2 linked regions of the Nothobranchius furzeri genome follow. The protein of the gene in region 2 purifies or fractionates together with the protein of the main gene of each other region. This does not show direct contact. Links are inferred from orthologs where the notes say so. Each region holds a gene or a part of one and is shown on either strand. Other genes may lie near its edges. The genes, in order: stip1 and ccdc117.

The links.
Region 1: the proteins of ccdc117 (region 2) and stip1 purify together in Homo sapiens (affinity purification with mass spectrometry; 5 studies listed by BioGRID and IntAct, counting the BioPlex papers as one, with this or other methods). This does not show direct contact. The link is inferred for Nothobranchius furzeri from reciprocal best matches to the Homo sapiens genes CCDC117 and STIP1.

The regions. Positions count from the first base shown.
Region 1 is NC_091750.1:53,225,731-53,229,569, reverse strand, and holds the start of stip1 (stress-induced-phosphoprotein 1), read right to left. Parts: upstream 2,819-3,839; 5' UTR 2,718-2,818; coding exon 2,700-2,717; intron 1-2,699. UniProt on the Homo sapiens protein: Acts as a co-chaperone for HSP90AA1. Mediates the association of the molecular chaperones HSPA8/HSC70 and HSP90.
Region 2 is NC_091757.1:46,238,302-46,242,228, reverse strand, and holds the start of ccdc117 (coiled-coil domain-containing protein 117), read left to right. Parts: upstream 1-1,049; 5' UTR 1,050-1,060; coding exon 1,061-1,071; intron 1,072-1,837; coding exon of another isoform or gene 1,838-1,895; exon of another isoform or gene 1,896-1,905; intron 1,906-1,984; exon of another isoform or gene 1,985-2,755; intron 2,756-2,974; coding exon 2,975-3,172; intron 3,173-3,271; coding exon 3,272-3,319; intron 3,320-3,927. Other genes in the region: tcn2 (transcobalamin-2), read right to left, coding at 1-107, 315-467, 602-771, 860-1,049, 1,838-1,895. UniProt on the Homo sapiens protein: Facilitates DNA repair, cell cycle progression, and cell proliferation through its interaction with CIAO2B.

The sequences.
Region 1 (3,839 bases), on a different chromosome or scaffold from region 2:
AGGCGAGTGGTGTTACGGGTTAAACCAAACTCAAGGTGATATTTTACACTAAACCGAAAACCCACAACACTCTAAATGTAATAAAAGGGAGATCTACACCACAAAAAAGATGAACTCTAAACCAAAACGTAACAGCTTATCCCAACGCAAGAAGCTGTTAGCGAAGATGCTAACAGTAGCTTTACCAACGCTAAGTTCAAGTTACCAAGTTTAAATAAACCAAAAACACCCAGCAGCAAACAGACCAGCACGGAGGAGAGACTGCTACCACCAAAACAGCTCTCCTAATGTCTGAAAGAAGCTCCTTAATGAAGGGAGAAGCGCTCCCGGTGATGTTCTACATCTGCGGTAGAGACGAAGCAGCGCATCTGACCCCGGAAGTTGTTGTCCGTTGCCGGGAGACGAAGGCGGGCAAAACAGGAAAATAATCTAGTAGTGGACGGACGTTGTTCCGGGTCTTCGGTATTTGGCGGAGATGTTAGTGAAGGCGGAGAAGAGAGCGAACTAGAGGAAAAACAGGCAGATTCCTCCTCTATTTACAAACTCCTGGGGATGCAACAAGTGGGCGCGGTGCGTCGACTTCCGGATCTGACGTCGACAAATTTTTAGAATCGAGCCGTCGACGTAGTCGAGGCTTCGCTACAGCCCTAATATTAACTTAAGTGTAAACACAGATAGACCTCATTTACATTTTTAAGCAGTCCAAATGGGTTTGAATGAAGGCAACTGGACTTCTTTGACTTCTTGAAGAGGTTTCACTTCTTGTCTGAGGAGCTTTGCCAATTCTGACTGGAATATGGGAGGGTCAAGCTTATTAACTGTGGCTGTCTATTGTTGCCTTATGGGCTCGACACGCGGGAGGCGACATCGCCTCTCCTCCATTCATTTTCAATGAGACATGCGCGACAAAGCGATAATCGCGGGTCTCGCTCCTACCAAGCGAAACGCGAAAAACGTGCGTGTGAAATTTTGCGCTCGTGCACTTGCGACCCAGCAACGCAATCCCAGAAAGTTGAAATATTTTCAACTTTTCATCGCTGTCGCTCGGACGAGGACCAATCAACGGAGGTTTCATTCACTGACCAATGAGCGGACAGGATGCTCCGTACACCTCCAAGCAAACATGGAGAAGTTGATTATTATTATTATTTTATATAGTAAAATCAGAAGTTAGATTTCACATAACTCTAGCAGCACCTTGTGAAACATATCTACCACTTTATTAACTCTGAACCGCTTAAATAACCTTAATTCCCTCCAACCTGACACAGCCAAGCAAAACAACGGAAGTTTCGATTTCGCCATGGAACAGAACGTGTAGACGGCTTTGCCGCTGGCCGCGGATCGCCTCTCGTGTGTCAGGTAATAAAAGCGACAGCGACAAATTTCGCTGATCGCCGTCGTTTGTCGCCTCCCGTGTGTCGAGCCCATAACGCGCAGAAACTACCTATGAATACCCCTCCTCCCTACCCCCTGATGTCATTAGCCTCTACTGTGTGTATTCCAGACAAAATTGACAAAGCTCCTCACATGAGAAGCCAACCCACTTAAAAAAAAAAAAACAATAAAACTAATAAAGTTGTCTTTATTCTTTGGATTACCATGACCCGGATGACTGAGAACCTTCACCAGCATTTTTTAAGCAGTCTTGCACAAAGGTTCTCTATGGAAAATTAAACTCTTGCTAAGATTTTAGTCAATCTTTGACTGTTTATACTGCTTTAACCAAGTCCATCCGCTGCATCATGTTGAGAAAAATGCTTTATTTTGCTTTATAAAAAGAAGGTGCCTAGGGGATGAAGTGTTGTCGGATTCATGCAAGAAAGAAAAATGACTAAAGAAAAATTAAGGTCATCTTAATTGTGAAAACACGAGGAAATTCCCAGAAGTCTACAAACAAAAAACTTCGACAGTTCGCGACACTTGAATTCGACTTTGCGGCCTGTCGCCTAGACAGTGGCGCCGTGAGCATCTAGAAAGATCCTCCGGTCTTCGCTCAGGCTGGGGTGGACGCTAAAGCAATTCCAAACTAACCGTGTCAGATATTTTAAAATAAAATGTCACATTAGTCCAATTTAAAACTCTAATACAAATAAAATGGTATAACGATGACTTTATAATAAGACCTTCTTAAACACAGTATACATGAAATAGAACCGGAAGATGTACACAGATTTGTCAACTCGCGTTACTTAGAAGCACTTATACCAGAATAACTTACAGCGTGTTAAAACCATATTTTGGTTTCTGAGTACACAGTTATATTAACAAAAGTGGGCAAAGACCGTCTCGGTGTTTACGGACTTATAAAGTTGCACGTTAGCTTCACAGCTCGTCAATGAATGTGGTCATTTGTCTCGCTAGTTAGCTAAACCGTGCGTGTGTTTTTATACGTCAACGACAAAACTCAGTCTGCTTGTAAAGGGATGCAAATTCTTAAGCGTTTAAAATTAGTTTTGCGTTTAACAATGTCGTAAAGCTCTCAGCCTATTAGCCAAACGGCTACAGTGTAAATGACGCTAAGCTAACAAGCTAGGAACCACTGTGAAGTCACTGCATTAAAAAGCGTACAGACAATTTTTTCCAATCTGTAACACTCTATTTTATTTTATTATCGGGAGATAAATTCAGCATTTCTTCCATTGGCTGAAAGCAGTCGGTAAAAACACAAGAATAAAAAAAACTTGCAGGTCACTTACTTTATCCATGATGCACATGCGGTTCCTTCCAGAAACTACTGCGGAGTCCGAACTAGCACCTCCCCCTGAACGGCTGGTGGAAGTTGCCAGTAGGGACTAGAAAATCAGTAAGCACCGCCTAGGGAGAGATTTCAGACGAGCAATTTATATTTCACTTACTGAAACTTCTCAAAGAAAGAGGGACTCTTTATTCTGAGCGCAGTTGCTCAAAATGTGTTTTGAATTCTCTTGAGTTATACAGTCTGAAAAATAGTTTGAAATTATTTTAATTTAACTTCTTTATGTGTGAGCCTCTTTGTGTCCACACTGAAAAAAGTATGCTCTTAATCGTATTTTTTGTGAGAAACATACACATATATATATATATTTTCACTTTAAACATGATCAAAGTTAGTAACGTCATGAAGTGTTTTTCAATGTCAAGGCAACTGGATAATTGAAATAAGCTATGCTTCTTCCTATTCCTTTTCGAACAATTTTAGTTTGGGATACTTTGATATAAGTTGGAAAGTCTTATATGGTAAGGCCCTTGTATTATTATGATTTATTTTTATTGCTATTTCTTTTTAACAAACTAAATTTGTTCTTTTCTTTCTTTCTTTCTTTTTCTTGAATTCAGCTTTGTTTGACCTGTGCGAAATAAAAAAAAGAAAAAAGTGATCTCTGCTTGCTAGGCCAGGCGCCTTGTGATACAGCATTAGTTCTGCTCTAAAATATCCTCAGCTGAATAAGATTAGTGCCTTCATCACAAATCTGTCCTGTACATGTCTACTGCCCTCTGGTGGAGGATCTACAGATCAACAAAGGACTGTTTTATTTCTTTACTATTATGAATTTTCTATGTAAACACACAAGGGATCCATTAAAAAGGGCAAATTGAAATTAAACATGCACAAAATAAAATAAACAACTACATTACAAATTACCAGAGGTGTCCCTTTCTAGGCATTAAAGCTCTTATTATTTCATTAAAAAGCATAATAAAGTTATACACATGGTTTTCCATACTCAAAACTCTACGTTCTCAGTGGCCTAGTAGTAGAGTGTCCACCCTGAGACTGGGAGATCAAGGTTCAAATCCTGGTCGGGTCAAACCAAAGACTAATGCCTCACTGCTTGCTTGACACTCAGTTTTAAGGG
Region 2 (3,927 bases):
CTTCTGCTTGATCTTCTCAAGAGATGTGTCAAGCTCAGCTGGGTTGTGTGAATAAAATCCAGAGTCCTTCACACACTGGAGGGCCATTCCAGCCATGGCTTGAGTGTCTACAGACAGAGATAAGTGATTAAACACTCATCGGACGAGTCTTCTCAAAATAAAATGAAAAATCAAAGACCAGGAAAGTCATAAAAAATGTATGTTTATAGCTTCTCTTTAATTATCAGGATCAAAAGGCATCCTGGACGGCATGTTCCTACAACATATATTTCACCCAAAAACTATTTTAACAACATGAGTTGAGATTAACCCACCAACGCTCTCTTCTTCTCCATGTTTGAAATTATTGTGTTCAGCAGCTTTGATGAGCTTGTGGCTGACATGGTTGTTGACCCTGATGCCGCTCACGCAAAGAGCGAGCACACCCAGGCTGTACTGGTAATAGTTGGTCAAAGGGCGGTGGCTGACTGCAGGAAGAAAATAAATACAAAATGTCTAAAACAAAAAATAAGTTATTCCACAGATCGGGGATCTCGTGTTTCATGGTGATAATCGGGATTCAACACATTTTAATACATAAAAAGGTGAAATGAAATCTTACAGGCAATATGTTCTTTCTCCTGTTCCATCTGCTTCTTTAGGTTAGTCAGCAGCATCTCACTCTTGTCGCCTACAGTGAAGGTGATGGTGTTGAGGTCATAGCAGGACGACTTTAAGGCCAGACTGTACAGAGCCATGATGCCAGTCACAGGCTGGCTGTTTGTGAGTGAGCTGAAAGTCGGCACAAGTTCAGGCTGAGGTGAGACAATCAGTTTGATAGAAGGCTGCATTTTCTAATTCACAAAATGGAATGAAATACCTTTGAATGCTATTGTGCAATTCATTTTTCAGTCTATTAAGGTTATCTCGCTCCTTAGCAAGATTGTGGTGACTGGAAAGGCGAAGTGCCAAGTGGACACTGGGATTGGGAAGTCCTTCCTGTGTTGCCAGGGAGCGAAGGAGATTCTTGTTGAGTGACAGGAGCAGCTCTTGGTTGGATCCATCAGTATCTGGATAAAAGATGTATAAAAGGTAAGAATAAAAGTTATTTGATTAAAAGACGTTTCACAAACAACTCTCCTCTGTTGCTGACATCAGCAATGACTTCTAAAGCACTGCAAAACACCAATAGCTGAATCATCAAAATAAAAAAATATATAAAAAATTCAGACTAAATAACAAAATCTACATGAATGTGTTATAATTCCCAAGTTTTTCTTTCATATTTACTTTTTTAAGCATTTAAGATTAAAATATGACAAAGCGACTCATTCTAGGTGATGTGTGTCGCAAACCAACCAAAATACAAGGAATCAAGATCACATTGCAAAATCTGTGAAAGTTCTATTGCATCACAATTTCTGAGCTGTACAAACACACACACACACACACACACACACACACACACACACACACACACACACACACACACACACACACATTTATATAAATATATATATATATAAATATATGTGTATATATATATACATACATATATATATATATATATATATATATATATATATATATATATATATAAAACCTTTATTATCCCATGCATGAGAAGTCTAACTGTTACACAGCTCGTTTAGCAGAAGGAATATAGATGAAGACACAAGATCGTACACATAGCAGTCAAACAAAATGTGTAGGTCTAGAAATTGTATGTTTTACACACACACACACACACACACACACACACACACACACACACACACACACACACACACACATATATATATATATATATATATATATATATATATATATTTTTTTTTTTTTTTTTTTTTTTACTTACCACATGGTTTGGTGGAAACAAAAGCCAACAGGCCAATAATTATAACCAAAGGCAGCATTTTACGTCACCTAAAACGAAAAATAAGACGGATTAAAAACTATCTGGGCGATACATTTTCAACATTAATCACTACAGGCAGCTTGTTACCTTCTCAGTGTGCAGCGTGGAAAAATCTGAGTTGCTTGAGAAAATAAGGGGAAAAGGAAGAGGTATGTCGATGTCACATGACCCGTCATTTGAGATGACGAAACGAAATATCGGAGTCTCTTTAAGTACTAGTTGCGTCTCTCAACATAAACAGGAAGTAGTAAAAGAAAATTGTCGCAGGCTATTGGTCTGTTGAAAAGAAACTTGACAAAGCAACTAATCAGAGTTTGAGGAGGGCGGGTCTTAAGGGTCACGCTTTCTGCCTACCTTTAAATTTTTAATTCTCGCGTTATTCGACAACTTTACATTTAAATAAAGTAAAAATGATTGAAGGTACAACTCTGATAAAAATGTTTATACATAATTAAACTTCTTTGTGTTTCCAATAACGTTTACACCGATGGTTTACACCAAAGAGTCTTGTAGGGAGCATCCGCGTATTTAACTACTTCTCCCACAATCCACCTGTGCATCTGAACGTAGCACGCGCACGTTCTGGAAAGTTGACGAGCCTTCCATGATCTTTTATTTTTTTTATTTTTTTGCATTAAGTTGGTCCGGCCTACTTTCTAGTAGTTCACGCCACACATAAGGACCGAGTCGGTGCCTTTTCTGCTCCACTGTGTTTGTGTTTTAGTGAGTTTTTGGTGTACATGTTCCGGTTTTTGGCATTTTTAACGGGAGTGTGGAAAAGGAGGCCGTTGTGGAGGCAAGCTAGCTAAACATCGACATAAACAACAAACAGCAAAAGGGGGCAGGGCAGTTTAACAGGTCAGTCTTTGAACCCTTAGTGTTTTGCTTAACTTGTGCAATGGAACAAAGGGTAAATATGTTAATTTATGTTTTATCTTAGCGCTTATATCTAAAACATTGGACTTACACGGTGATTATTAGCTATATAAAAATGCCGATTGTCAGTGGGAGCCAGTATGCAACGTGTGCAGAAATGCGCATTTTCAGGTTTTAATTGCATGATTTCTTGTCTTACAGGTCAGTGTCGTTTACAGTTATTAGCCTGAGTGCCTCCCATCACACCAACGCCTGGATGCATCACCCTGCTCTCCCAAAGACTGCACTGGGGTTTCTGCCAACCATGTATTCATTTTCAGGTCCCTCCAGTCTGCCTGATTTTGACTTAGGGCATCCGAGTATGACTGAAAATCAACAGAGATCTGTCAACTCCCACAAGTATGGTGATGCTTTAAACCCTGCAAATTACACGAACATTCTTCCCATAAACGTCTAACTGTGTCAAATAATTATTATTATTTCTTCACTGTTTCACAGCAGCTGGGAGGCAAGGCGGCTCCGGAAGCACAGGAGAGTTGATGATGAGTAAGTAAGAAATCCATGTTAAAAACCATTTCACAGTGTCTGGGGTACTTATCCAATCCAATCCAATCCAATTTTATTTATAAAGCTCATTCAACAAGGCATTACAACCAAACAAGGCGCTGTACACTAAAAATGTTAGTTAATTAAACCGGCGTTATACAGTCATGTCGAACACAGATAAAAGATAAAAAGGAAATACAACAAAATTCACAAAACTAAACAGCTAAAAATCAATAAAACACAGGGAGAATAAAAAATTAGAAAAACATTTTAAAAAAGAACCTCAATAATACGGAAGTTGATATTGTGAATTCCATTTTTAAACAATGTAGTTGTGAGGTTCATAATTATGTGGTATAAGCTAGGTTGAAGTAGTGAGTTTTCAAGCGTGATTTAAAAATGCTAGCTGTTGGTGCTCACCTCACTAGCAGTGGTAATGTGTTCCACAGCTTGGGTGCACAGACAGAGAAAGCCCTTTCTCCACGGCTTTTTAAACGTGCATTCGGAACAGCTAGGAGGAGCTTATCTTCGGAGCTGAGAGCATGCGGCGGGTTGTAGTAATGGACAAGTTCACACAGATATGGAGGAGCTTGATGGTTCAAGGATTT